4 linked regions of the Drosophila melanogaster genome follow. The protein of the gene in region 3 interacts with the protein of the main gene of each other region in a pairwise test. Each region holds a gene or a part of one and is shown on either strand. Other genes may lie near its edges. The genes, in order: by, CG18259, koi and RnrS.

Evidence for each region.
Region 1: the proteins of koi (region 3) and by interact in a two-hybrid assay, tested with the Drosophila melanogaster proteins (one large-scale study listed by BioGRID).
Region 2: the proteins of koi (region 3) and CG18259 interact in a two-hybrid assay, tested with the Drosophila melanogaster proteins (one large-scale study listed by BioGRID).
Region 4: the proteins of koi (region 3) and RnrS interact in a two-hybrid assay, tested with the Drosophila melanogaster proteins (one large-scale study listed by BioGRID).

Annotation. Positions count from the first base shown.
Region 1 is NT_033777.3:9,526,626-9,535,375, reverse strand, and holds by (blistery), read left to right. Parts: upstream 1-2,364; 5' UTR 2,365-2,391; coding exon 2,392-4,554; 3' UTR 4,555-4,636; exon of another isoform or gene 4,637-6,417; 3' UTR 6,418-7,138; downstream 7,139-8,750.
Region 2 is NC_004354.4:18,780,303-18,786,725, forward strand, and holds CG18259 (uncharacterized protein), read right to left. Parts: upstream 3,193-6,423; 5' UTR 3,074-3,192; coding exon 2,994-3,073; intron 2,932-2,993; coding exon 2,411-2,931; intron 2,354-2,410; coding exon 1,612-2,353; intron 1,556-1,611; coding exon 1,474-1,555; 3' UTR 963-1,473; downstream 1-962. Other genes in the region: CG6891 (uncharacterized protein), read left to right, coding at 379-702, 776-892; CG6961 (uncharacterized protein), read right to left, coding at 6,159-6,240, 6,297-6,423.
Region 3 is NT_033778.4:6,809,473-6,818,781, reverse strand, and holds koi (klaroid), read right to left. Parts: upstream 7,764-9,309; 5' UTR 7,607-7,763; intron 6,995-7,606; exon of another isoform or gene 6,881-6,994; 5' UTR 6,854-6,880; coding exon 6,699-6,853; intron 6,251-6,698; exon of another isoform or gene 6,088-6,250; intron 6,002-6,087; coding exon 5,666-6,001; intron 5,610-5,665; coding exon 5,029-5,609; intron 4,746-5,028; coding exon of another isoform or gene 4,468-4,745; exon of another isoform or gene 3,970-4,467; intron 3,723-3,969; coding exon 2,223-3,722; intron 2,166-2,222; coding exon 2,053-2,165; intron 1,990-2,052; coding exon 1,777-1,989; 3' UTR 583-1,776; downstream 1-582. Other genes in the region: ubl (ubiquitin like), read left to right, coding at 8,345-8,383, 8,443-8,581, 8,647-8,690; CG15237 (uncharacterized protein), read left to right, coding at 9,084-9,212, 9,271-9,309. UniProt on the Drosophila melanogaster protein: Component of the LINC (LInker of Nucleoskeleton and Cytoskeleton) complex involved in the connection between the nuclear lamina and the cytoskeleton. Is required to nuclear migration in eye and to anchor klar in the nuclear membrane.
Region 4 is NT_033778.4:11,982,037-11,988,159, reverse strand, and holds RnrS (ribonucleoside diphosphate reductase small subunit), read left to right. Parts: upstream 1-2,766; 5' UTR 2,767-2,893; coding exon 2,894-2,944; intron 2,945-3,092; coding exon 3,093-3,341; intron 3,342-3,849; coding exon 3,850-4,731; 3' UTR 4,732-5,015; downstream 5,016-6,123. Other genes in the region: rho-7 (rhomboid-7), read left to right, coding at 1-158, 659-879, 934-1,133, 1,198-1,288; CG34231 (uncharacterized protein), read right to left, coding at 1,446-1,699, 1,753-1,897, 1,997-2,089; GalT1 (beta1,3-galactosyltransferase 1), read left to right, coding at 5,436-5,724, 5,789-6,123. UniProt on the Drosophila melanogaster protein: Provides the precursors necessary for DNA synthesis. Catalyzes the biosynthesis of deoxyribonucleotides from the corresponding ribonucleotides.

The sequences.
Region 1 (8,750 bases), on a different chromosome or scaffold from region 3:
TAATTCAACTTTAACTGAATGAGATCACAGATCTATATAGTTCACCAAGCCCATTCATGCGAGTGTAAGCCACATTACATGTACGCATTCGATCCAAAAGTTCGTTTCCGAGCCTTGGAAAGGATCCCCTTGAGATGCATATGACAGTCCAATCTCCAAACTTGATTAAGCGTTGGAAACTTTCGAGTGGGAAGCGAAACGACCACTTGATGCGGACATTCGCATCAATTGAATCGAATGCGTATGTTGCACACCCGAAAACCACACTCAAACTATCAGTAATAGTCCATGCGATAGCTTTCCATCGTTTTGGCCAAAATTAGATGGCCAGATGGGCCCGCAATCCCCGGTTGTCACAGCATATGGCTCTGATTGACATTACCGAAATTCCACATGACTTTGTTTCAACAGATTTGCGGCAGAAAGAGTTAACAACAACAGATGTTCGCAGCGAAAAGCTGCAAGACAAAAAGCGAAAAAAAAAATACGAAAAAGGTAAACGAGTTGCCAACTAGGGACGCAACTAAGGCCAACGAAAGAGAGCGGCGACAGGTCACCGGAGAGCGAAAGAGAGGCGGTGGGGTCTGCCCCACGCGAGTGAGCAAGCGAGAGAGCAACTTGTTTATTTGCCACCCACAACTGGCTGCTGAAAGAACAACAACAACAACAGCCATGGCAAGGAGCAGATGAAGAAGAAGATCACCTCTGCTGGCATTGACAGAGGATTTGTGCAGTTATTTCTCATACTTTATTTTTTTAAGCGCATATTTTCGCTGAATTTGATTTGTTTTCTTTATGCCATGTTGCTGTTGCTCCACTGACGTCACTTAACTGTTGGGGTTTCAATTATAATGCCTTAGCCATTGTTGTTATATTCGTTGTTGTTGTTTCGTTTGCCCACCACGACACTTTCTACAAGAAAATGTTGAGAAATCAAAAAAAGATGCGACAGCTTCTTCTCTATGGGTTCCACTGAAAGAAAAATGTAAATGGTGGAAAACATACTTCAGTTTCCACAGTAAGAGTAATAACTAATTAGGGTTTTCTAGAATAATCATCAAAATACATAAGTCTGAAAGACATTTAAATTGTTTACTGTAGTCTCTTATTAAATTTACCAATATTTTTTTCAAGTGTACGTTTGTGGCCTCTCGCTTGATGGTGTATGTGTAATAGCCACAAAAGTTCATTGGGAAAGTGCAACCTGAACCTGCTGGAACACAAGACCGCAATTGATTGATAAAGAAAACCCCATTTAAGTGGCATAAACAAAGTTCGTTTGTTTCACTCAGCGGAAAGCAAATGAAGCTCATTTAAAGAAAAATAGGCAATTTAATTGATGAAAACGCCAAGAATTCAATGGAAGAACGTGCCCGAAGTTACAGTGGGTGCCATCGGCGAATTACCATTTCAAAAAGCCCCCCAATTGAGGTTTCTTGTTACGTGAGAGAGACGGAGAGAGGTGTCCAAGAGGGAGCGATCTTCCACAGCTGTTATCAATTGCACTCCAATAGGATCGCTTCACACGTTGGTCTCCAATTGGGACTGCAATGTGCGGGTTCTTTGATCAAAATTCGCGTCCAACGTGCACGGATCGAACTTTACGGGGCTCCTAATCTGTATAGGCTTCGATTGCTTGTTTTGATTAGTTCGTGCGTTTGGCTGGGGCTCTCCTTCGTGTGTATTCGTCAATAAGTGGGGATGACATCACCGACGCTCCACTCTCTTCGACTCGCGTTCTCCACATCGCATCTCTCTCCCTGTCTCCGCTATGTGCACTCTCTCATGGAACGATCTCTCTTGGCATCCAACACCTTTTGGCGTGTACTTGTGAGCATTGGAGGCACAGTGGGCGTGGGATTATTAAATAAATACCCGATGACAGTTCTATTTATAAAGCTGTTCTTTCACTTTCGCAATATCTCTGGATTTGGTTGATACAGTTTTTGGTGTCACCAAAAATCGAAATTTACAAGTAACCAATATTGCAATTTTGTGAAATATATTGATAATGTAGTTTTAATACTTGTTATAAATGATTACAATTACTGTAAAGTTTTTTTCTATCGTACGATCGAACAAGGTCAAATGTTGCTCATACGCACTTTTGCCACAAATCTGTCAAAAATATTACCCATACGCCAGGTTGGTCGCACTATTAAAAGTTCATAATTAGAAATGTTTACCTAAAAGATGGGTTGACGAGGGCCTAGCCCACTGTGCCCACTCATGGCGAACCAGAAACTGACTTGAGGAGGTTGACTTGCTGCTTGACTTGCCACGCGAGAGAGAGGTAGAGAGAGAGAGCGGAACGCCAACGCCGACTCTACGGTTTGAGTTGTATCTTCTCGACCTTTTTTTTTGAATCAGTCTTTTGGAATTCGCGAAACAATGCGGACGCCGTACGAAGAAAGCGCTGCTGCCGCCGACCACAAATATCAATACCAATACACCGCGGCCAATAATAACAATAATTACTATAAAAACTATAATGTGAATGGCAATGGGCAGGCGAATGGAAATGGGAATCTAAGTGGAATTGGTAATGGAAATGGAATTGGAAACGGCAATGGATATGGAATACCTTATCACGCGCGCGAGAACTCGCTGCCATTTAGCTATGGCATAGCCAAAACTTCGACACCGTTGCGAAAAACTCCGACACCGACGCGAGTGGATAGTTTTCTAGACTTTGATTTCGGGCCAACGAATACGAATGTGAATTCGAATAGTTCTAGCAATAATGGCGGTACTGGCGATATGATAAAGCCACCAACACGTCTAACGAGCCCTTTGCTGGTGCGCAAAACGCTGGGCAATGCCGTTAGTCCCACCAGTTCGACCAATACCAACACCATAGCCAATACATACCACTACACGTCGAGCAGCGCAACGCCGACGCCGGTGAGAGATAATTTCGAGCAGCTGCTGCGGGAGCGACGCGAAAAGGTCTACAATGAATATAGGAATCTGGATAGGGAGTCGTCCGGGGAGCGGGCCAGAGTGGCACCCGCTCCGCCGCAGAGGCAATACTACCCGAGCGATGGCTATGGAATTGGGCTGAAGAACGATAGCAATGGAACCCTATACCGCAAGAGCCCCTCGTCTAATGGGAAATCAACGAAATACAACTACGATTTTGAGTTCAATCTGAATCTGGATGATGTTAGGCCCGAACCTACACCGTATACCACGAGGAATATTCACTTCGAGGATCTGCGGCTGGATCAGGATGTGCCAGATGGCGTGGTCAATCGGCGGACCATGGAACGCAATTATCACACAATTAACAGCTTGGAAACGACCCACAAACGCCAGCAGTTGGAGCCGTTGGAGCAACTGGGCGCCGTTTATGGCCAGAACCACATGGAGGAGACACTCACGCGCACTCGTCGCGATCTCTCCGCATCCACATCGACATCCAAGTCCACCTCGCCATTGCCGGCAATAGGAGTACCAGCTATAGCACCAGCTTCGCCCATTTATGCCACCAGTACGAAGAGAGTGAGCAACCCAAATACCAATGGCCAACAGCAGATGACGCCTAGTCCCACCAGTAGGCCAGAAACGCCCGCCTTTCCGGTCACGCCGCGCACGCCTTTTGGGGCATCATCATCATCATCTGCGTCTCTGGCGCCGACGACCCAGTTGCCCCCAGAGTCGATCTACCAAACAGGGCCACGTCGTGGCGTACCGCCTGCACTGCAGCCACTCGAGGTGTCCGCCGATTCCGTACAATTTGCCCGTAGTTCGTCCCAGTTCTGGTACAAACCAAATCTCACTCGCGAAGATGCCATCGCTCTGCTGGCCTCTGCCCAGCCGGGCACGTTCCTGGTCAGGGACTCCACCACGTACAAGGATTCCTATGGCCTGGTGGTGCGGGTGTCCCAACCGCCTCCCGGTTCACAGGAGCTGGTGCGTCACTTCCTCATCGAGCCCACGAAGGGGGGAGTGCATCTGAAGGGCTGCGATGACGAGCCGGTGTTCACTTCACTGTCCGCCCTCGTCTTCGAGCATTCCATAAGCCAGCTGGCGTTGCCATGTCTCCTCCGTCTGCCCGATCGGGATATAGTACCACCGGTGCGGGCCACAACCCCTGCCCAGCAGCATCTATTGGCCCACGGAGCAGCCACCAATGTGCTGTGGCTCTACTCCTGCGACACGGAATCGCTGACAGGAAACGAGGCCATCCGCAAGGCCATCCGCCAGATGTACGGTCAGCAACCCTTGCCGCAGCCCACGGAGGTGCACTTCAAGGTCTCCTCGCAGGGCATCACGCTCACGGACAATACGCGCAAGAAGTTCTTCCGGAAGCACTACAAGGCGGATGTTATCTCGCACTGTGCCATCGATCCGGAGAACAGGATGTGGACCAGTGAGGGCGAGTCTGACAAGAAGACCATCTTCGCCTTCGTGGCCAGGAGGTCGCACAGCTCCACGGACAACCAGTGCCATGTGTTCTGCGACCTGTCCGTCAGCCAGCCGGCGGCGGCGATTGTCTCGTTCGCCAATCGGACACTGCCCACCGAAAAGCTGCGCAACTACGTCCTGTAGGAGGGAGGGGGCGTGGCACGGGTCAACAGGTCAGCAGGCTGGATTCCACTTCCATCCGTGGAGTGGAATGGCGCACAAGCAGGTGAGACGCATGACGGGTGCAGTTTTGTTATGGGTCGTAAATTAGAGTACATTTTGGGTGCGGTTCGGCCTTGGGAGGCGAAATTGACAATTACAGTAGTCCTTCGAGAGGGTGAGCTTAGTCGCGAAATTTAAAACAAACAAATATTCTTTAGACTCCAAATTTCAAATTCTATATTCATTTTTCTAAAGGTCAAACAAAATTGGTCGTAAAAACGTTTTAAAAAGTACTTTCTAGAAACGATTTCTTTCCGGCATTTGTTTGTTTTAAGCATCGTATTTGTATTTGTCTGAAACAAATTGTTTCTCCGTGGTTTGGTTGAGACATTCTTATTTTTAGAGACTTTCCCTTGTTGTTTGTTTTAAAATAGATATTAGTTGTGCTTGCGGAACAATAATTTTGGCTATATCTCACTGCCCTTTTTCAAATTTTTGTGGGCCTCAAGCAATGTCCAGAGAAACTTTCAATATTTGCCTTGCCAAGCTGTCACTGTATCATCATCGTTCTGCGCTACAAATGGGAAACCTATTAAAAACGCTTCACTTTCTGGGGCCCTTCCGTTCGCCTGGGTTCGTCTTCAAATTGTTTACTTTACATAACGCCCTGGCTGTTTGTTTGTTTGTTTAGCGGTTTCCATATACTGCCGTAGCACACATATAGATATATATAGCTATATGTACATACATACATACGAATCCAAGAGCGCCATGTAGAAGCATTTGGCTAACATATCTTCTGGCTACACGTTTTTCGCAACGGAAGTTTCTGTCATGAGTCAGTTGCCTATAAATGATTGAGTTTCGAATTTAGAATCGAACAGAATCAAAGACATCCAACACATGCACATCCATTGCAGGGTCGCCACGTTCTGGAGGAGTGGCACCAGCCCAATTTTGGTATTTCTTTCGATTTGATTAATTCCCCCTGCTTCGTTCACGGTCATGTGCTGAGGTCGCCAGATAAGGCCATAGCGCTTAACTGTGCATTGCCATGCTATGGAGGCAACTTTTCATTAGTTGGCATTTGTGTATATATTCGCTATCAGGCCGCCAGGTGATCCACTATGCTATAATAATAGCGTCGAACAGTTGGCTGCAAATTGTGGGGCCTAAAATAAGATCTGCCCACAGAAGATATAGAGTTTATAGTTATTGCTGTTCTGCCCTGTTCAGCTTGGTTCTGTTGTTTATTTAGCTCTAAAGATACATCGTTTTTTGAATCACTTGATAAGAGCGAGAGACTCGTTGTTGATCTTGCTGGGAATTATTCTCCAACGATCGTTCGATTCCACCTTGAATTTTTTCGGAATTTTTTCACTTGAGCCTTAAAGCGGAATATGCAAATAAACAGACGGCAATAGAAATCGGTTTTCGGTCTCAATATAGCGCAAAAGTTGAAATAAATTCAGGCGAACCGAACCGGCGGGCGTCAATTGCGCATTTTAGAAAAACCGCATGCCGAACACTCAAAACATAATTCCAGGCACGTTTGCGTTTATTTTTTTCAATTATTCCACTACCGACGACGAGGTTCAGTAAAAAGTTACTGTAAATAAAACGGGAGGTTTAAAAATGGTCTAAAAGAGATTTAATATTTAAAAGAGCACTCCAACTTTTCATCAGACCCCCATTGTTTGCTCGATCAAATGATCTATTTGATCCGCAATTAAGCAATTATCCACGAGCGTGTACAATATAGATACAACCATATGTAGATACGATTGGTGGGGATTGGAATTTACGAACTTGTTTAAATCGGATTTCTTCTTTCATCTCTTGCAGGCCAGTGGAATCGGAATCATGCGGAATTATGCGGAGGAGGAGCCCAGTGCTGCAAGATGTACTAACTAATCACTTTACGAAATTGTGTCTTGCGATATAATGAGCTTAACTGCGAATATGTTAACAGGAATGATGTCAGCCGTAGTTTATTTAGACACGCACACACTCAGAAGTCGGCGATATTTATGGCGAAGCTAAAACATATGTACACATGGGTACTATCAACTTGAATTGACTAAATGCACAGTGGGACAAGTGGATGGCCGAGTTCGATAAGATTGGTAACTATTGGAAACGCCACTGATTCATATTTGTTTATATGCCCAAGTTGTAAACAAAGCCATGAAGATTGTGTTAAAATTTTTGGAAATTCCAACTGGCATTTCAAGGAATCTCGTACCACTGTGCTGGGTGGCGAATTGAAACTGATCACCGAAAGTTGACTGTTTATTAGCAAAAACAGTATGGATGTGTATATATGGGCGAGTTGTGTGTTTTTATATAGGGTGCGCTTGTCAGACAAACGGAATTAAACTAATCTACCACATAATTTTAAACCGATTAATGTTAGTTTAGAAAGTTGTTAAATAAAACCCAAAAGTACAAGCCAGAGAGCTTGTTCCCTAATTTATACCAGTAATATCTATATAAATATATGTATGTATATGCTTAAGCACTACTAATGCAGTCAATATAAATAAAGTGCAATGTTGTTAAACAGATTAGAAACCTTTTATTAATCTAACTCCTTAAACTGACTTGCGAAAAGCTCAGCGCCCAGCATCTGTTAATAATTTGTTATCTAACTAAAAATACAGCAGCGACTGCGTTCTAGATTTCAGGGCTGTTAATTTTATATATCAACAGACATCAGTGTTGTTGGGTCGGTTGGGTTGCTTTTGTTAAACAATTAATGGGTTCTGTACCCGCGGGCAATGGCAATATACAATATGCATTTGTATGAACACAATTGTTTAGTAATTTAATCTTATCGTTCGCCAGCGTCGGCGATCTCTATACGCTCAGCTAACCATAGGAAGTGTAAAGTATTTTTTGTACTCCTCCTGTCAGTCACCCTTGCATCCATTGGATTCGCATATTGCCGGAGATTCCAACAGATTCAAGATATAGGTAGTCTCCTGCCTCCTAATGGACGAGTGCAATTTGTGTTTTTTTTGTATTTTAAAAGGCAGCCCACCAGTCAAGTGTGCCAAGTGAAATGAAAACGCGTCCGTCGACTCGACCTTGAGATCAATTTGTGGCGGCGGCATGACGTCATCGCCTTTCGATGGTAGCACAACGACAGCTGCCCCACGATTTTAAAAACATTTCTTACAGAAATTTACAAATTAAATTTTAGGCTAATGCTCCCCAGCGAGATCTGTGCACCCACATTTTAATGATTTTGATTTCAGCATTTCATTTCATTTAATTTCTTGTTCTATTTTCAACGGCCTGCTAATTTCCTATATGTACATATGTATGTATTTATGTGTTCGCCTTGCCAGGCGCCCCAAAGAGACCGAAACCAGTTTGTCATGTTCTTTGCCTAAATTCGATAATTAATTGATCGCCGGAGAAACGAGAGTCGCTGAAAACGACGACAAACTCCGGTTGCATGAGCACCGCCCCGAGGTGTCGCCTTATCCAGACCAGATGATGCCCGGTGACGAAAGCAATATCCATCGAGATTCCAAGAGCCAAGACGCAGTGCAGGTTTTGTATCTTACATTTAATACATTTGGATTTGGTTGTGTGTACAAAAGTGAACATAAAATTAACGTTCGGTGTGTTGTTTTTAGATATCTACATAGCTACATACAATATCGTTCGTTTACATCATATTCAGTTAAACATAATAAATACACTTTAATAATATATACTCGCATACGTATATATATAACAAATAATACATCCAGATTTTGCAGGCCCGCATTTCGGACCTCCCGCAGGCAGATTCAACATTTCGCGTGAAAAACAGAATTTTGTGTGTACAAAAATACATAATAGGTCCCACTTTCGATTTCGTTTGGATCTAAACTGTTGGAATGCGAATTGATAGAATTTCCAGTTTCCTCAATCTTGTCGTGCTTCGATCTGTGGAAATCTTAAAGTTTGTCAATTTCATTCCGCATTGTGATGTCCATTTCGAAATCAAGAAAGGGGGGTATAATAAAAAGCTCAGAGAAAACTATGTAGGCTCCTCTATTCGTGTGCCTAATTCAATATGGTTTGGGTGTATATGTGGTTGTCTCATATTTAAGATTAGTTACAAAAATTTCTCTAGTTTTTCACGAGCCTATTGCCATATTGCCATTTTTCGTTCCCATTTG
Region 2 (6,423 bases), on a different chromosome or scaffold from region 3:
ACTAAAGCGGCAACAAATTGCTTTCCGTGAATCTGCCCGAACGTAATGCAAGTGGGCGATGCAATGGCGTGCCTATTCCCCTGGCCGACTTGAGGTTGCCTGACACGGAAACAAGTCGAATTGAATGTAATATAACCATCGAAAGCGAAAGCACCGCTTAAATCTGACTCATAGATGGCGCCGTCAAGAGTACTTGGCCCCGCATTGAGTACATACAATACATTTCGCTATCGATGGGCCAAAGCGGATGATCCATTCGCCTTGGCGAAACGATTCGGACTTGGAATACATGATTAAGATATATACTTCCGTCTGAAAGTTGCTTATAGTTCCCCTCTTCGCTTGCTTATAATCCTCTTCCCCCTTGCTCTTTCGCAGATGCCGCTGGCCACGTCGCTGGAGAAGGACTCGATTCGCGAGGCCTACGAGGATGTACGCTCCGATCTGACAGACACCGAGTGGGCGGTATTCAAGTTCGATGGCGCCCAGATTATTGTACATGCGCGCGGTCAGTGCTTTGAGGAATTCCGACAGCAGTTCGGCGACTCGGAGCGCGCCTTTGGCTACATACGCATCCAGATGGGTGACGAGATGTCCAAGCGCAAAAAGTTCATCTTCCTGACGTGGATCGGGCAGGAGGTGGGCGTCATCCAGAGGGCCAAGATGTCCACGGACAAGGCGCTGATCAAGGATGTCCTCAACGTGAGTAGCCAATAGCTAGAGATGCCAGAGCCCAGAGGCAGAAATAGATCCTCTCATCTCTAATCTCTTGCAGAATTTTGCCGTGGAACTTCAGGCGGGAGTGGAGGCCGAGCTGGACATTGAGCTCTTCCGTGAAGCACTGAACCGTGCCGGCGGCGCCAACTACGGAACGGGCATCCGGGATAACTAAGCGGCCTCCAAGTTACTTTACATATACATTTTTTTTTGCAACTCTTAACTGCTTACCAAACTGCTCCTTTCTCTTTAATTATTATGAATTAATTTTATGAAATTTAAAAACTGTACATTTTATGAAATATTATACAAGCAATTGTAACATTACTGGGTCCTCTTATTTATCGTATAATCATAATCCATAGTGTCATTCAAAAAAGGTAAAAGAAAAGTTTTCAATACCAAATTTCAAGAGCGGATGCAAAATCATTATCAATGCCATACATTTAATTGTGTATATAGTGGGACTGATGAATTACTTTGATGATAAGACAAAAATTTTAGCCACCTAATACTGAATACTGAAGTGGACAGATATGCCAGAATTTGCATTAGAAAATTCAAGTTTCTATAGTAAAGAAATGTTCTCGTTTAAACTAGTCTGGTTTTCTGAACATACGCTGGATGGATCGATTCGAATTTAATAAGCGCGAAATGAAAATGGACTACGTTGTTGAACTAAATACTACGGAGATGATGAAAATGATGAGAAAAATTATCTAGTTGCTTTAGTTCCCGGGCTCTGCCTCTCGCTTCCTAGCGGACCCTGAAGAGTACCGAGTGAAGTGCATCGATGTCCACCTCCACGCCAGACGAGTTTGTGGTCACGGTGCGAGAGCTACGGCCGAGAACGTTGAACAATACTGCTTGGTATCTTTAAAGCATATCACTCACCTGGCTTTGTGCACCGAGCGACGGGAGGAGTGCGGATTAACCAGCACACAGTGCATGGGCTGGTCATCGAACTGACGATGGTGATAGGTATCTACGGCCTTCTCGGCATGTTCCAGTGACTTGTAAATAACTTCGGCGGTGCCGGGACGCACCACACGAGCGTCGTACACTGGGCCGATGTCGCTAAAAAGCTCGCGAATATCCGCAGTAGTCACGTTAGTATGCAGATTGCTCACCAGCAGGCGGTATCCATCCTTTGTGTTCGACGTACGCAGCGACAATGGGGATGGCGAACGGCGCTTGTTCTTCGATGGAGCAGCTGCATCACCATCACTATCAGTACCGCTATCGCTATCCCTAGCACCACCGCCACCAACAGCCTTTCTCCGGTTCTCGTTGGCGTAGATGCCATGAGAAATGTGAGGATCCCTCTTACCGACAAACAGACGAGACCGCAGCGATTCTGGGAGTTTACTTGTGCTTGCTGTGTCGCGGTGGCGGCGCTCGAGAGGCTCCTTGGTGGTATTTGAGCGTCCAACTACGAGTCGGTTGGTCAGCGAAGGACGCTCAATGCGATTGCGGGCCGCCTCGTAAATGGAGAATGCATTGTTATCTATTTTGTTATTTAGTGGGGCCATGGACATCTCCACGTCGTCGCCGCGGTTCAGGTCGAGCCCACCAATTGAGTAGCGTGGCGACGCTTGCTTCATTTGCCCTAAGTGCAGTGTGCGAGATATTTCCTCTGAAAGTAGAAGAGTGCTTTTTAGGAACGGCTTGGCAGAGAAAGGCACTAACTAACCATCCTCGAGGTCCTGCATATTATCAAGATCAATATAGCGTCGTGGAGCAAAGGGTTTGCCCGGCTTATGGGATCTGGGGTCAAAGGTTCGACGCAAGCCGGACAACATGTGGTTACCCAGTTCAACGACCCCGTCGTCCGAGTCCCATTTCGCCTGAATGGTGCCGTCCGCATGGTTTGACATGCTAAGGCGGTGACCAAACTGACCGATGTGCACTCCCTTTCCGCGTGCGCGATGTGATGGCTCAAACGACTCTTCTTCGTCATCAATAAGTATTGGGCCCGCCGAACGGGCCTTCTTTCGCTCCAGCAACAGCTGGCGGGCATCGATGCCCGAGTCGCGCACGCTCTTGTTGATCAGATCCCGGGCATCGGCTATCTTGGCCCGTGTCTTCGCGGCGATCGTGTTTCTGGCATCGAAGGTGCGCTTTGCCGGCGTATCAGAGTGAGATCCTCGGGCACCCGATGGCTTGAAAAAAGGCTTGTTCAGCAGCTGGCGCGGCTTGGAGAAGTTCGCATTGCTGCAATGGAAAACGCATTGAGTGACATTCTATTTTTTCGGCTGTCCTGTAAATGTACTTACAACTTTCTGTCGAGGGGACGATAGCCGCGTTGCCCGCGCTTCCGCTCTATAATCTCGTCCAGACTCAAATCGATGTCCATGGCTCACAGTATACGCTTTTCACACCTTTTCCTAAGCTATGTGTGAAGTAAAAACAACCAGATTCAAATTATCCTGACTATTCGAACTACGTTCGTAAAAAAAAAATAGGACTGGCGTTTCACTGGTGACACTTGGGGTGGCAAACTATCGTCCAGCACTATCGATAGCAACTATCGCTTAAAAACATCTATGTTATTCTGGATATAAAATGTAAAAAAGAAACAGCAATATACTAACACTTATACAAATATACGATTAATACTATTAAACTACTTGTTCATTTACAAAAACAATTTTTGCATGTCTTAACATTAGTTTGTAGAAGATTGAAAATTCTCAGAACTGTCAATGATATATTAAGCTACATAATACGTTTTATCCACTGACATTACGAGTCACTAATTCACAGTGTGCCCCTTCGCACAACCGAGAACAATCGCGCTTAGGTGCTAGCCGACGTCTGGTCTGGTAACACTGATACCTGCGCAACAACAAAAACAACACCACATACTAAAACAAAAACCTCCGTGTGCTCTTCAGTCCTTGAACGCTCACCGGGACTGCCATTGTATGACTTCGATGAACAGAATTTGGCTTCACACTCTCTTCCTTCAGTGTAGGCCATGAGTGCGCCTCTTTTCACCCTTTAGTCGCTTTTTACGACAAGCCGGGAACGCTCAGGTAGTATTCTTCACTCGCCACCACACAGGACACCTGTTCGGGTTTAGCCACCTTCTCTGTTGGCCATCTCGTCTGATCGGACACGTTTAATCATTTTAATGATTAGACTGTGTCCCAGCTCCCATGCCTCGCTCTTTGCCAATATAGCTGCGAACAAGCCACTAGGGCTGAACGGAGCACCTGACTTCGTCTTTAGCTGCTCCCTCTCCATCGCAAACCTGGAGCAGTGCATTAGCACATGCTCTTCTGTTTTCTCACAAATGACGCAGAACAATCGACGTAGATAGGCCCGAATGCAGCCATGGTCCGTGTGAAACTGGGTTAGGTGGTAGTCCAAGCATTTGTGTTGGCACTCTGCCCAAACCGCCGACTCAGGAATGAGCTGGTAAGACCACCTGTTCTGCCACTCACCCAACAGCCACTCGTCGGTAAGCGCCACCCCGCTTTAGGCCGAGAGCCTTGATCTCCGATCAATTGGCGGCCTGCCAGAGTTAGTGCCGCGTCTTCACATATTGTCCTGAATCCTCTAATGAGCCTGAGGGCCATGGCTCCTTTCAGGTATGAACCCCTGCTTGTAGCATTGCTACAGATTGGTGCAGCGTACAGCAGCGAAGCCAGTTTCCTGGCCAGATAGCTTGGACCACCGATGTTGGGCACCAGTCTAGCCAATGAAGAAACTGTGACTGATGCATTCTTGCTGCCGTAACTCGCGTGGTTCTATCATAGCACCCAGGTACTTGAGGGACTCTTGGGAGGTCACCTGTGTCGCATTGACAGAGGACTAGCATATTCTCCACCTTTTTCCTGCTGCTTAGTACTTACTGCTTCGGTCTTGCGAGCCGCTATTGCTAGCCCGGCTTTCCAGTGGACGGCAGCTCCAATCGTGGTGTTACATTTGTCCTGCAACTCTGCAATTGTTTTGGCGACTGCTGTAATTGCCGCATCGTCTGCAAAACAGTGCAGCTCTACTCCCAAGGGCCTGTTGATGCTCCTCTACTATCGTATCCTCGTCCAGTCCACTGCAGGATAGTGCTATTCTTTGAGCTGCCGCACAGATGCCAAATCATTGACCGTCGCCTCTAGATCGCTTTTATACTTGGGAAAGCTTCCCGAGGCTTTTCCCACTACTTCGAGCAACAGCTCATCTAGCTGAGTTCTCCGAATTCTTCTGCCCAGTTCGCTAAGGCTCGGGTCCGATCTTAGTTTCCGGAGCATCTCTGCGTACCAAGCCTCACCCGTCTTCTTCACGATCCGTGCCTCAGGCTTTTTACGCGGGCGCATAGGCTTCACCTTGGTCCAATATGCACTCGTGCTAGCATTCTTGGCGACAGATGCGTAGCTGCCTGTATTGGACTCGTTTGATCTGGATGTCGCCTTCCCTTCTCCTCTACCAGTCGTGCGGTTTGAGCGCCAGAACTTTGGGCACTTGTCCCTTGGACACCTGCGCATTGTGAGAAGCGTTTTTGGTAGGCTTTTGTACTTTAGTCTGGGTAGCAATGCTCGTCAAGCGGTGCTCGCTAGTGACCCCTTCGTACAACTCTATCATCTTGTTAAGGGCTGAATGTTCAGAAACTAGGCTCTTGGTCTCTCTTGTGACGGTTATGTCGGTTAAGTCTCAAATGCGGATAGCAGCAAGTTTATCTTGCCATTCATCCTGGTGAGTATGCACTTCAGGTCGTTGTTCTGGAGAGCCGTGGTCAGGTCCGAAGACCGATTAGGGGATCCAGCTGGCTACATACGCAACCAGATGGGTGACGAGATGTCCAAGCACAAAAAGTTCATCTTCCTGACGTGGATCGGGCAGGAGGTGGGCGTTATCCAGCGGGCCAAGATGTCCACGGACAAGGCGCTGATCAAGGATGTCCTCAACGTGAGTAGCCAATAGCTAGAGATGCCAGAGCCCAGAGGCAGAAATAGATCCTCTCATCACTAATCTTTTGCAGAATTTTGCCGTGGAACTTCAGGCGGGAGTGGAGGCCGAGCTGGACATTGAGCTCTTCCGTGAAGCACTGAACCTCCAAGTTACTTTATATATACTGCTTACCAAACTGCTCCTTTCTCTTTAATTATTATGAATTAATTTTATGAAATTTAAAAACTGTACATTTTATGAAATATTATACAAGCAATTGTAAAATCAGTTTCTATACCATACATTTTGTTGTGTCTATAGTGGGACTGCTGAATTTCTATGATAATAAGACAAAAATTTTACTCACTAAACACAAAATTCTAAAGTGGACAGACATGGCAGAATTCACTTAAACTAGTCTAGTTTGCTAAACATACGCTGGATGGATCGACTCGAATTTTATAAGCGCGAAATGAAAATGGATTACGTTGTTGAACTAAATAGAAAAAATTATCTAGTTGCTGTAGTTCCCGGGCTCTGCCTCGCACTTCCTAGCGGGCCCTGAAGAGTACCGAGTGAAGTGCATCGATGTCCACCTCCACGCCAGACGAGTTTGTGGTCACGGTGCGAGAGCTACGGCCGAGAACGTTGAACAATACTGCGTGATATCTTTAAAGCATATCACTCACCTGGCCTTGTGCACCGAGCGACGGGAGGAGTGCGGATTGACCAGCACACAGTGCATGGGCTGGTCATCGAACTGACGATGGTGATAGGTATCTACGGCCTTCTCGGCATGTTCCAGTGACTTGTAAA
Region 3 (9,309 bases):
CCATCACATCAGCTCTGTTTGAGACAGTCAGCTGGCTTTAATTAAGTGCATACCTTCGCTGACGCTTGAAGATGAAATCCTTTGACTTGCCAGCGCCAGGAATTTGCTGGCACAACAAATTAAAAGACAATTTGCATTAACCCCAGACGAAATGACACATCCGTGCGGAGTCAACAGTTGCAAAGGTATTTTCATATTAAATTACCGAAGACGAGTCTGCCTGAAACAGAAATGCACTTAATATATTCATCAGGTTGGAGCACAAGTCCTGCATCATCATTTATACCAAATCGGCTTAACAATAACATGGAAATCGTTAGCAAATTATAAGCAACTGCAGTCAAGAGTAAAATGCGTCATTATGCAATTAAATCCGATTTAAATGGACATTTTCTACACACTATCTAAATGTATTGTAGATAGCAAAGGATACAAGCAAATGATTTTGAACTGAGCATCCTTTTTTCCCAATCCTTCGCTGGCGTCCAGAAATAACTAATTACAGAAGCCGGATAGCAAAGGTTAATTACTTCCCATGGCTTTGACAGCCATTTTTTCGCCTGCCTTTTGATTAAGAAAACGTTTTTTCACAGCAATGTGTTTATTGTTAAAAATGGTGAAAAACCTTAATGAACGCAGGAAGTAGATACAAACTTAGCCAATTAAGTAAACTTATAGAAACAAGAGAAAACTATATTTTTAATTATCAACTATTTTTGGGTTCACTCTTTAGACATATTACGTATACGACAAGTAAGGAAAACTTGAAATAGATTGTTTCATTGGGAGGGATGCAGGCAGCTTTTATTCGATCGAGTTATTCAGTGAGTTTCAATTTTATTTGTCACTATTTTAGAGGTGTGAATTCAAATCGCTATCGCATTTATAAGGAATTTGCAAGTTTTCATGGTAAAACATTTTAGCTTAGATATAGCTTAAACTATACATTTCCAGCAAGTGTGTGGCTTAGACAAACTATGACTATTACCTTCAAAACGCTTTTAAACATGGCAAACATGGTAAAAGATATGCAAGTTATCCAACCCGAAAACATAGCACCCTACCCCAGTTTATAAACAAATTTCACATTTCAATCTCGGCGGCATTTCCTTTGTCTTTGTTTTTGTCATTGCCTTTGCCAGCACTTAGGTACCCGATAAGATAGATAACAAAACTTAAAGTAAACACAGCTTCCGCTTGGAGACCAGGCCATGATCAACTTCTCGTCTCAATCAGCATAAAGCTTTGATTCTAAACATAATTGAACGTTAAAGAAGTTTCTAAAGAAAAGCTTCTGGCCGAGGAAGATTGGATTAGGATAAAGTTAGAAGATCAGTCTGATTCAGGACAAGATCATTTTTTTGACGCCGAGATTGGAATTTGAAATTTGTTTATAAACTGGGGTATAGTGCTACGTTTACGGGTTGGAAACTTGCATACGTAAGTAGAGTAGACTTAAAGGAACGATGATTGATTTCAGGGAAATAACTAAATACTAATAAATATTATAGTACTTATAGGGACTCTAGTCCTGACTTAAATAATATGCTATGTACAAGTTAACCTTAATGTGATTTAAACACTTCAAATCTACGATATGATACAAAACACTTACAATCTATATAGCCTTACTTTTTACATAGTTCGCATTGTTGAAAGCGGCTGGGCTCCGTTGATCCACATCTCGCAGTGATATATTGTTTAGTTTCCTTTTTAAGGCACAGACATTATGTACACCTGGCAGTACTTAGGTCACTAGAAGAGATTTGAACAGATTTATGTGGCCGGCGGCTTGCCGTGCACGCGAAACCGGTAGAGGCATGTATAGGTGGGATGGCCATGGTTCGTCTCGATCCGCAGTTCGACGATCTCGTACGGCCGTTTGATGTCCAGGTTTTGAACGGCAAAGTACTGGAGGGAAGCACCATTGTCCTCAAACTGGTAATCGCCGAACAATACGGGTTCCTGGTCCTTCTCCTGCTCCAAGCCCTGAGTTGATGGATAAGTCGTATTAGAAATGCACCACTTCCTTTCACCCTTAGTCAAACTTACCCAGACAGTGAAGTTGCGAGGAGCTGATTCTATTCTTCCTGTGGGGGATAGACTCTTCGGTATGTGCTCTAGGGTGAATCCAGTGACGTACACCAACGAGTTGAGCTTTAGCACTGTGGGAAGAAAACTATAAGGACTGTTTTAGCAATTACTATTTACCCGCGACTTGCCTAGAAATCCGGGAAACCCTTGGAATGCCCAGCATTCCCCTGGCTGCACATTGGGTGAAATGGCGACCCGCGGCGTGTTGGTGGGATACCAGAGTGGAATTCCAAACACCGATATCTGGGCTGACTTTGTCTGGTAGCTCTCAGTGCAACGCGTGGAAAGGATTTGGCCGCCCGCCGACTCCAGGGCGAAGTCCACCAGGCCCGTCTTGTCGGCATCGTAAATAGCTAGCACCGTCTTGACTATCTGGCGCACCTCCTCTTCGCGGATATGGCCCTTCAACGCTTTGGTGCTCTCGTTATGCTTGGCCTCCACAACCAGAAGAATCTCCCGTTTGAGTCGTTGGCTAATGTCGCTCATCAGCAGGATGCTCGAACGCTCAATCTCGTCGCGAATGTTGTTATTGGTGCGCTTGTTCAGCTCTAGCAGCTGCTGCTCCAGGTAGTCCTTGGCCACAAACATGCTGCGTACCCAGGTCTGCAGATCGAAGTCATCCAATTGGCCAGCGGAACCGCCAGCGGTGGATTGCTTAAAGCCCAGAATTTCGACAAGGGATAGCTTGATCTGCTTGTTGAGAAGAGCAAACTGCGAGTCGTTAAGCGCAGACAGTTTGTTTTCTATTTCAGCCAGCAACCCGTGGAAGCGCCTATCCTGGGAAAGTTCGTGCTGCTGTATGCGTTCCAGCAAATCCTCTTGGCCGAGCTTCAGATTGCTGATTGATTGGTGCAGATCGGCGTTCTCCGCTTGCTTGTCAGAGAGAGCCAACTTAATGAAGGCGATTTCCCTGTTCAGACGCTCAATTTGGACTTCTGCATCTGAGGAACCGGAACTCTCCTTTGGCTCGAGCTCTCCCACCCGAAGACTTATTCGAGCATCTACAAAGTCTGCCAATGCTGGCGCAGCAAGAATACGCTCCAGCAGGGATGCAAAGTCTATCCTGTCCAATTGAATGGTGTAGTGCGATTCGTGGAGGTGAACCTCTGCTTTAATTAGCTTGGTTATCTCCTCTAAGTTAGCTTGTGATAGTTTCGCTCCATCTTGCCAACCGCCTGAGCTTTGCAGCTCCAGTTTCAGTTTTATGGCCAGATCAGACAAATCCTTTTCGCTTAGCTCCGTTTTGTACATAATCTGCTTGAGGTTTTCCTTCATCAGCTTAACAAAGAGTTCAATCTGTTGCGGTGCGAGCTCCTTGGAATGCTGCTGCATTTTCAGCTCGACCAACTGCTGCACGTAGCTGTTTACATGGTTTAAGATATTTTCGTATTCCTCGGCAGTCAAGGCTTTCTGGATGTTCTGTTCAATGCTGGCCATGTTTACCTTAATGGCCTCGGCTTCCCGCTGGGGACTCCTGACGGTGGGCACTTCCATCCAACTTTTCAAGGTGGCTCCAGCATTTGAAAATCGACTACGTAGGGAGCCGAAAATAGATAGTGGCAGCGGCAACAGTGCTTCCGCACGCTGAACGTAAGCACTACGTTGATCCTCCTGCAAGAGCAACCATCCTGGGGAAGGAGAAAATTAAACATAGCACTATTAGTTGGCAATCCTTCTACATTTACAGTCCCTACCAACTTCAATTATCAACCGGACTGAGGTAACAGGGAACTCGTTTTTGGGGTTATTCCAACACAAATGCAGAAGGATAGAGTTCGATTCTGGCCAACTAATATTGCTTTGTTTACATCTTACTTACCATTTAGCGAACTTCCAACAAATGGCAAATAAAACAAACAACTCTTCTTTGTACTTGATGTTTCATATGAAATTGTTTGCGATTTATTTTTGTATAGACTATTACAAAGCAAACAGTGCACAAATTACAATTAAACGTTGTTTAACAACAAGTAAGATTTAGTTAGGGCACTAACCCAGACGGATAACGGCCCTAATTGTTGGACAAGAATGAAGTTAACGATTACGAAAGTTTTACAATTTGAACAGCGGCGAGCTCTATCCTTCTCCCATCAGCCTGTGATGTTGCATTTTGTTGGGAATTGTGTCGGTTAGTATGGTGGGGTATGAGAGGTGGGTTTGCCTATGAAGTGGGTAAATGACGGGACGAAAAACTATAAAGTAAGTGCGCAAAACTGCGGGTCAAGCAGACGGACAAAAAACGGATCAAATGCTTTATTTTGTACTCATATTGTTCATAAAGAAAGTTTCTCATATTTGTCTAAGTGCAAGGGGCGTTGCACCCAACCAGATCACTAAATCTGGTAGCTGTAGCCTGCCCATTGCAGATGTTCCCTACACACGCTCATAATAGACTTTATCATCGCCCTGAAATAACTGACGACCCTTGTTGACCACGTTCTGACCGATGGTTCTCAAGTACAAAACGTAGTCGTCGGCCCAATCGCGAACGCGGACCGCATGCTCGGCGGCCTGAGAGCGTAGCGATTCGAACTGCTCCTGGTTCAGGTAGTCTTTCACATCGATTTTGGGCAACTCAGGTAGGGTGAATGTGTATTCGGACAGGGATTTGGGTGGGAAAGTTTCATTGGGGTGTATGTAATAGAACAGACCTGCAAAGGCAAAGCAAATTAGGCGTTTAACCTTGGCAGACGGTGAATGGAAAATAAAATATGTCATCACATGGCCACTTAAATCTGATCCGCGGGATTTTACTAACAAATTATCGATGGCGTCACGCGACTGCCAACGACCAGACGAGTTTATAAATACAACGACTGGAGGTGATCTATATGCATGTAGTATGAATTCTCGAACCGGTACAAGGTCACGGCACACGCTCTAACATATTTTACTTTACATCAAAAATCGGACGGTGCTTTAAATCCTACTCACCCGACAGCAGCAGCAAGGGCAACAAAATCAGCAGAAATATGAGGAAGCGCTTTTTCGACTTGTTTTCCGCATCCGAGGATCGCAGCAACCACGTGTCCAAACTCAGCACCGATCCGATGAAAACATACAGGTAGCGCAGCAAACTTGCAAGTCCTCCTCCGATGGTCTGTACTATTTTCCACCAAAGTCCAACTTGTTGACTCTGCTGGCGCTTAGCGTGGTAGTTTTGATAGGCAGTCGTCTCCGTGGCCGAGAGATTGGTCACCCGACTCCACACGGTGGTAATGCTGCTAACAACCAGTTGGATGAGGCGGATAAGCCACCAGCTCTGCTTTTGCTGCCCAAATGTGGCGTCCAGTTCATCTGCGGAGTCATAGTTAACCTGCTGGGTATACTTGGACTGGTAGCGGCGGCGGATGAACTCCTCTTGCGCAGGGTTCTGCTGGACCATGTAGTTGACTCGATCGTTATGGTTCTCTAGGCTCTTTCTGGACATATTGGGCATGGCCACAATTCCTGGCGCCAACTGGCGTCGGTGAGGGGACAGTTCTGAGTAGGTATAGTCCGTCTTGGGAGTTTTGCTGCAAAATAGCATCATTAGTATACTGTTTAAAATGTGTAGAAATGATTCACTCACTTCCAGTATTCACCAGCATCCCTGTACTCGATGTAGGCCAGATAATCGCTGACATTTCCCGAGCTGAGGTTACCGTTCGATTGGTTTAGCTTTTCCTGGGCGGAATTCAGCGTGTTTTGTGTGGTCTCCAGCTGGCTTCTGTTCCGCGGTGTCGATGTGGCGCCGCCGGATCGCTTGGTGAGAATCGACGTGACTGTGGCCGTGATCGAGTTCTGTTTGCGTTTGGCATCCGGAGTCATGTCGTCGCTCGAATAGTCCGAGGTCAGCTGGGCGAACGCTTTTGCCCGGGTTTTCTTACTGATACTCGACTCCACTATATGCTCCTCTATTATCGTTCTGCAGAGAAGAGGTAAGATTTGGGAAAAATATTTCAGTAAGTCCGTGATAACGTGCTCGGAATCGTTTGAAACGACGAGTACAACGTATCAAAACAAAAACACAAAAATATGCTTATAACCGCCGCTGGCCTTCAGCGCAAACGACTGTTAGCCCACCCCAGCATGCTCGATTTAGAGGCTAAAACGTGAAAACGATTTCTGACGGCCGACGTTGGACTCCGAATGTCGTCATCGAGTCTTGAAGACTGATCATCAGACCGACCAGGCGCTCTCGAAATAGGCGCCAAAAACTAACGAAGCTCGACCAGATGCTGCACCCTGTATGCGGCTTTGCCTTCGTTTTCTACCCGCTTCGAAATTCAAATTCGCGGCGAGCGTGAATAACAAAAAGGTGACGTCATGGCGGCAGCACACGGCATACAAACATACAGTCGCTATGGATGTGTCTTACTACAGTCCAACTTGCTTACTGAAACCAATGGTCAGTATAGAAAAAGGTGACTCAGGACCAAATAGGAAATAATTATAGAGTTTAAACTGAATTCTCCTAATTCTCAAAATGAAATTGACTCGAACTCCGTAAACATATTGTATGCTTACAATTTTACTACTTATAAGGGCTAAAAATAATGTTATGGGTTCGCGATAAAGGGCTTCGTCCGTAGGCCTATTTCGGGAGTATCCCAGATACTTACTGCACATTGGGGGCCGCCGATTTCCTTTTGAGGTGGTGCACATGCCCCTCCTCTCCGGCGTGCTCACAGTTCTCATGGTCGCAGCTCGATCTCAGGAAGGGGGTCTTGGAACGCGACCGCCGACGCGTTTCTATCTGGTATGTATTTTCGCTCATGATTAGATTCCCTCCAGTGCTCGGGCCCTGCGAAGACACAAATAATTAACATGGGCAACGATTTATTTGGAGTAAACATTAAAACCAGTCTGTGTGTGTGTGCGTGTGCGTGTGTGTGCGTGCTAGGCGTGGGTTGTTTACAATTGGGCAGCTGGAAAACATTCGGTCTCTTCACTTCAATGCTCGAGTGCTTTCCGAAGCGAGCTTTCCCCGCCACATTAATGCCGCATTATGCAATGCAATGCGTGTGGAAATGAGCGCAGTGCCCGGTTTTTAATTAGAATGCATTGGGGAGGTAGGTAAGTAGGCAGGCCGCAAAGACCGCGTCTAAAAATAGGGCGGAGCATTTCGGATCGCGAATTGCTGCCAGTGACCGTGGGGATCCATTGGTGTTGGGCCACATAGCCGAAAACGACGCCCGCCCGGCCTTTCGCGCACAGATATCGGACTCCAGGGAGCGGGGTAGGGATGTAGACGCTACAGGGTGCTCCGGCGGACCACGCCATCCACAAACAACGCGCGATAATCAATACAATGGCTTACTGCCCAAAATGAGTTCGCAGCACAGGCGCAAATATTCGTTGATTCCGTGATTCGGTGAAATGGAAACCCAAACAAGTTTTCCACAGCTGCGTCATAGCGTACATATATGTACATATGTATGTACGTGAATGTAAAAATGAGGCACGCACGCACACAAACAAAAACTCCGCACAGTGCTTTCGGCAGTTTGCCCGCAAATATGTGACATACTTAGTAATATTTCTTGTACTGCCGTACTAATGAATTCCTCCGTTGAATAGCTGGATATGAATTTTGTTTGCAAGCGCCGCGACCGTTTTAAAAATAGCCTCCACCGTCACGACGGCAAAATCACGTCTATTCCGAGCGGCGAAAAAATTCGAATGAACGGGGAAGACACATCGATTATTCTAGCAATCATCGATGTTTCGCCGCCTATCGATTGTTCACATGGATTATTAAAGGGAACGTTGAGAAACGGAATTTGTTTTCATTAACCAAGAGAAATAATGGGTCAAGAATAAAAAATTTAATTTTTACACTTTTATCTTTTGTTCAACAAAGAAAAATAATTTGAATGAGGTGTGCAAATATGCAAACATACATTATTTTTCTATTAACGCCGAAACATTCGACTTCTGGCTTGATAACTAAGAAGAAGACTGAAATTTAAATATAAATTTGTTAACAAATATTATCGTTTTACAAGGATGTGATAGATTTGCGTCATGACAAGCAATTGAGCTTTCTAAGTATACTTTCAGACTTCTGATATCTTTAACTTCGACTTTCTATATGATTGTTATTTAAACATATTTAAAATTAAATAAAATATCGATAGCATTGCGGACAATTAGCGATCCCTCAAACCACTCGGTATTCGGTAAAGGGTATTTGACAACCCTAAGCAATAATACCACAACAAATCAAGAATTTATTGTTGTGATTTGTCTAGCAAAGCCATAAAATATGATAGAAATAACGTGTAACGATCGTCTTGGCAAGAAGGTAAGCAGCTAAGTACCCAAGGCAACTGCAAGCATCGTTAACCAACGATTAACCCACAGGTGCGCGTCAAGTGCAACCCGGACGACACGATTGGGGACCTCAAGAAACTAATCGCGGCACAAACGGGCACAAAGCACGAGAAGATTGTCCTGAAGAAGTGGTACACAATCTTCAAGGACCCGATTCGCCTATCTGACTGTAAGCCCTTGTTTAGTGTCCTTGTAACGCCTTGCTTTACCCGCATTTCTTTTTCGCTTTCTTAGATGAAATTCACGATGGCATGAATCTGGAACTTTACTACCAATAAAACTGCAAGGGAATACCGTTCCTGTGTCTAGTTTGTCCAATTTTTATAGCTTCTTTAATAAATAAAAAGATTTTGAATAATATATATTATTCGTTTTGGTTATGTTCTGATTCTTAAGGTCAATTTGTAATAGTGAAGATATATATTTTTGAGTAAGCTGTATTAAGCCCTTGGTTATCGGACTTCCCTTGACAATAACAAAATACATAGTTAGATTGATGAATTACAATTACAATTAATATTGTAATTTGCGTTTAATGCGCCCCTACGACTACGCCCCTGTAAAATTGGTATTATTTACAGCGTATGTTGCGGCGTTGCCAGATCGCATCAAAGGCTTCCAGAGAAAGAACAACAAATATTGAAAACAGCGCATTCAAGATTCCGTCGAAAATGTCAATGATTCCATTCTTTCCCACGCTCAAAGTCTCCGTGGCCAATCGCTACTGGTTGGACATGGCTCCTGCCTCCGTAAACGAAGAATCGCAGACGCGGCGTTATGAGGATGAAAGGAGCAACTGGGTGAGTTCTCTCCAGACACCGCTTTCTGTATAAATTGTTATAAACTTAAACCGTACAGCGAGAGTCCCTTAAGACGGCCGGCACAGATCTGCAGCCG
Region 4 (6,123 bases), 5.2 Mb from region 3:
GATCAAACAAGACATCCGGCGGCACTGGGACTCACTGACACCCGGCGACAAGATGTTTGCTCCTATCTTACTCTGCAATTTGGTGGCCTTCGCCATGTGGCGGGTGCCCGCTCTGAAATCCACAATGATTACCTACTTCACATCCAATCCAGCGGCGAGTAAGTGCTAAAATCCAATATGAAACCGAAAAAGTGATATCACAACGCCCAGATCTTGCGAAATTACGTACTTCTAGGCAGTATGCCAAAATGGATTTGATTGCCTTTTTAATCACAAAAAATAGAAGTATAAAGTTATCTTGGTTATGCATTTTTTGGCCATTATCGCAATGTATCAGATAAGATGCATTCAATTATTAAAATCGCCTAAAAAAATAATTAAATACATTACACGTGAAAAGTATTAGACGAATAGTAGTCGACCGGAAATCCATGTTATTTATGGTTATATAAGAAAGTGGTCGAATTTCTTCTAGTTATGTCAGCTTGTTATTTTCCATCTTTTTTATGTAAACTTTTGGTTTTACCTGAATAACAAATGTTCAAATGTTAAGTTCAAAAAGTTTTGGACTTATAAACTATTTTTTACTTTGTAGTATTTTATGATATTTGTTTTTTACAACCCCCCTAACTAATTGTGTTTGATACCCTTCTCGCAGAAGTCGTCTGCTGGCCCATGTTCCTGTCCACATTCAGCCATTACTCGGCTATGCACCTTTTCGCCAATATGTACGTGATGCACAGCTTTGCCAACGCTGCGGCTGTATCGTTGGGTAAAGAGCAATTCTTAGCGGTCTACCTCAGCGCCGGCGTCTTCTCCAGTCTGATGAGCGTGCTCTACAAGGCGGCCACGAGTCAGGCGGGGATGTCCCTGGGTGCGGTAAGACAGCCTTTATTCCACGTAGTATCTATAAACTTAAAGCTCTTCCCTTAGTCTGGAGCTATAATGACACTGCTGGCCTATGTATGCACCCAGTATCCGGACACACAACTTAGCATTCTCTTTCTACCCGCGTTGACATTCTCCGCTGGAGCTGGTATTAAAGTGCTAATGGGCATCGACTTTGCTGGCGTCGTGATGGGCTGGAAGTTCTTCGATCACGCAGCGCATTTGGGCGGCGCCATGTTTGGCATGTAAGTTTGGCGTGTATGTTTATACCATCACAGGTTGTCTTATTAATCCTACGGTAATTTACAGCTTTTGGGCCACGTATGGGGCACAGATATGGGCAAAGCGCATTGGTCTACTGAATTACTACCATGACCTGCGCCGGACGAAGCAGAAATAGTACAGGAGGCTTGGGGATTCGCCAAGTGAACGGACGGGGAGCTGAGGCAATAGAGCGGTAGCGAGTAGCACTACGCTGTGTCAATAAGAGTGACATCGTTCTGCCTTAGAAGTTCATTGAAATCAGTTAAGTTGAATAAATCGTTGACATCCTGTACTCATGTGGTTTCCCGGCTCTTTTTTGGAACTTGTGTTTGATCCTTCTGATTTCTTCGAATACGAAAAGCTACTTCGTGCCTGCGCTGCTGAATCTTCTCCCTAAGTTCCTCAAGGGATTCTCGTTCTGGAGCGTATGATATGTGCAAGATTCCACCATAGAACTGATGAGCATCGAGCATTTTCTTGGCTCTTCTCGCCACCTCAAGGCGCTCGAACTTCACGGCAAACACATCTGTAAAAGCTTCCAGATCCACTGAAACAAAAGGAACACTATATAAAAAAGATCTTGAACAGGGATAATCATACTTTTTGAAGCCATCTCTGAAGTTACCGAAATACATGATTGCACTTTACCAAATCCTTGTAGTTTCGTCCTGAGATTAGCTTGAAGATTTATTTTAGGTACCCCAAAGATCAGCAAATGACGGGACTCACTAGCAACTGTATAAACCTACAAAGGATAAAAAACACAATAAAAGTACAATAAAACATTGCTATTACTATAAAGCTATTACTAAACTATTACTACTAAACATTACTATTTCCCCACCTTGACAGCTTTCAATTCGCGGCCCTGACGGTATTTCAATCTTGTAGTGCAGTATTCCAGACGTTTGTGGTGTTCAGAAGAAGAGGCTTCCATATTCAGGATATTAAAAACAAAACTACAACTAAACGGATTTGTTTATTATTATTTTCAAGTCCACGATTAAACGTACTTATCGATAAATATCAACAGCCAGCTGTTATGTTATTGTACTGTTATTTACATGATTCGCTGTAATGGAATTCATTCAAAGTTGTTGAATTGAGTATGTTAGCACCTGTTGCATTTCCAAATAATTCGAGATTTCCAAAAAAAAAATTAATTTTAAGTCAATGTCCTTGGAAAAAAATTTTAACTTTGTTTCACCTTGATTTTTTATCTAATTGTAGCAAGAGGACCAAATTTTTTCACTCAAAACTAATTAAGTGGCGTTTCATCAGCTGTTTTCTGGATTAGTCTAGGGTTGTCTCATTGCATGAAATATCGATGATAAAAAAATTTCAAAATTTATTTAGTATTTGAAACTATTAATATTAATATTTTTCAAGTGACAAGCTGGGAAGCTAAACATAAAATTGTGCAGTAAGGATTCGATTTATGGTTTAAGAAAAGAAAACTACCACCCCATAATTGCATTAGATTTACCCTAAATTTATAAAAAGTGAATTGACGCACTCGACAGCCCTGATTTTCCCATAGTTTTCCCATCACCAAAAATGGCGGCAAATCGAAACAGTTTGCCGCCCGGCATAAAACCCAATGTAGCTGTATTTCCCAGATCATTTGCCACACAACTTTCAAACTGTACACTTAATACACGTCGTGGTTTAAGTGAATTTTACCAGAGAATCAGAGAAGCGCCCCTACCTGCTAATAATAATCCATTCAAAAACATCTCAAATGGCGTCCAAGGAAAACATTGCTGACAACATGGAGAAGTTCTCGCTTAAGGTAATCGACACGCAAATAAAGTTCACAGCTATACATAGACGTAATACCGCGATCAGTGCGCTTGTGTTGATTTCCCTAGGGAAAAGTGCTACGCAGCGGAAAAATACTCATGCTTTAGTTGGCCTTCTTTGTTTTTCGTTGTTAACAGAGCCCGAGCAAGAAGATTCTGACGGATAGCACCAACAACGTTCGCAAGATGTCCATTGGACACGAGGCAAACGGACAGTTGGCCAAGGAGTCCTCCACCGTGAATGGCATCGGCAAGTCTGCCAATTCCCTCATGGAGAAGTCCGTAACCCCCTTCGACCCGTCGCTGGAGCCCCTTCTGCGCGAGAATCCCCGACGCTTCGTCATCTTTCCCATCCAGTACCACGACATCTGGCAGATGTACAAGAAGGTGTGTATACCATACATATAGCAAAACACTGTCCATTTGCATTGGTGGTGAAAATCTATTTTTTGGGCGGCAAAATATCAAAAGGGCGGGCATTTCGAGATAAAGCGCGCCAAAAGCCGGTCACGTACTCAACGTGGTTGATTACACGAATCAGACTTTATGATAGCTTCGTTTGGTTAAACAACCCCCTCCCACATTTCTCGACCCTCCCTTTCCGCTGATTCACTGCATCACGGTTTACTCAATGTCAACAATAGCCTTCGTTTTTGGCGGGAAATGCAGCACATAACGATCACATACTATACCATTTTATGTAGCCAATTACATTTCCCCGCCGCTTTTAATTGCTTTGTAGTAACTTTGTTTACATTTTAATTGCATTTTAATTGATAAGCTCGTTGTGCACGATGACATTTCTTGAAAACTTGTTAAAGTGGAAAATGAAAAATAATAAATTTATACAGTAATTATCTCTTTTAAAATTGTAACTTTTTTTTTTAATGTGCAGGCTGAGGCTTCTTTCTGGACTGTCGAGGAGGTGGATTTGTCCAAGGACCTTACTGATTGGCACCGCCTGAAGGACGACGAGCGCCATTTCATCTCGCACGTGCTTGCCTTCTTCGCCGCCTCCGACGGCATCGTAAACGAGAACCTGGTGGAGCGCTTCAGTCAGGAGGTGCAGATCACGGAGGCACGTTGCTTCTACGGCTTTCAGATCGCCATGGAGAACGTGCACTCGGAGATGTACAGTGTTTTGATCGACACTTACATCCGTGATCCACACCAGCGAGAGTACCTGTTTAACGCTATCGAAACGATGCCGGCTGTGAAGCGCAAGGCAGACTGGGCCCTGTCCTGGATCTCCTCCAAATCGGCCAACTTCGGGGAACGCATCATCGCCTTTGCCGCCGTGGAGGGCATCTTCTTCAGCGGCAGCTTCGCTTCCATTTTCTGGCTTAAGAAGCGAGGTCTGATGCCTGGATTGACCTTCTCCAACGAGCTTATCTCTCGCGACGAGGGCTTGCACTGCGACTTTGCCGTGCTGATGTTCCAACACCTGGTGCAGCGACCCAAGCGCGAGCGCATCATCGAGATCATCCGCGACGCGGTGGCCATTGAGCAGGAGTTCCTTACCGATGCCCTGCCCGTCAATTTGATTGGCATGAATTGCGACCTGATGTCCCAGTACATTGAGTTCGTAGCGGACCGTTTGCTCGTGGAGTTGGGCGTTGGAAAGATCTACAACACCAAAAACCCCTTTAACTTCATGGAGATGATATCGCTGGATGGAAAGACCAACTTTTTTGAGAAGAAGGTGGGGGAGTACCAGCGCATGGGAGTGGTCAGCAACCCCCTGGACAACGTGTTCACCCTGGACGCGGATTTCTAGGGCTGGCCCCGGACATCATTGTTGCAATTTAAACCTCTCAAGGGCTGGCTTCTCATCCTTTATATTTTAATCTGACGGCAATTATATGTAGTCCGTTTTAATTTTAACATAGGCTAAGAACAATCACAGACCTTCAACACATTCACCTAATCATTTACTTGGACCTCCAATTACGTTTATAATACTATCTACACACTTGACTTTTACGAGGAGCGTACCTTTTCCGAATTCATTGTACATACAACATTTTAAATAAATTTATACATAGACAATTATTAAGCACTACAAGTAAAATTGAGTTTTAATTATTCTGAAAAAAATCTTCAAAAATTACTGTTTATGCACGATTATATAATAAGAAAATCAATTTCAAAAAAATTTATAAAAAGGATTGGGAAAATTTAAGAATTTAAATAATTCGAATTTCAAATTTTCGATTTCAGTTATATATATGGTAGGTAAACTTATCGATAGTCACGGGCATTTTTACTATCAGCTGTGCTGAACAATCCCATTCGCTGTTTTTATCAATTTGGATAAAATTCTTGTTATTCAGTTATTACCATAAAAAGTATTAGATGTCAATAACAGGAGTGGGCGATTAAATCAACCCAATTCAGCTAGGCGCCCTAATAGTTGATAAAATGCGAACAGTGCATTAAATTGTAGGCGGAGGACCAGTGGCGATAAGTGAATCCAGTCACATGGACAGAAGGTGGAATCCAGAAAAAATCGAGGAGCAGAGCTCCCTCTTGGCAGCGGAATATTCCTCCAGCTCGGGAGCAGCTGCTTCCGGATCCGAGGACGAGACGGTCACCACTAGTGGAGCGCTACGCAGCAAAGCAAAGCTGAGGAAGCGGCAGCTAAGAAATCGCATGCCGCTTCCCAGGATGTTAAGACGCCTTGGCTGCTACACGCTGAGCGCCTTCCTAATCTGTGGGCTGCTCCTCGTCTACCTGCCGCTCGTCTACTTGGATGTACACAAGCGTAGTGGTAGGACAATGGTTTTCTTGATACCCGCATTTATTTTAAAAATGATCCATTGACGCTTTCACAGCTGGTCTGCCGGATTGGACGTCAGAGACCTCCCGCAGCATAGCTGACTACCTGGATATCGGGCTCAGTTCTGGCGTCATTGTTCCCAAGGACTTTTGCCGGAATAAGACCTTCCTGGTAATCGCCGTATGCACCGGCGTGGACAACTTCATTCAGCGACATACCATCCGTGAGACCTGGGGCAATACCACCGAGTTCAACTACCCAGCGTTTGGAAAGCTCCATGGTCATCTCAAGGGTCACTACCTGCCGCCACTGCCGGATCGCTTAAAGATGTACGGGGATTATTTGAGCGGCGAGGGGCAGTCTCTGACTGCCTCAGTGCGCATTGTTTTC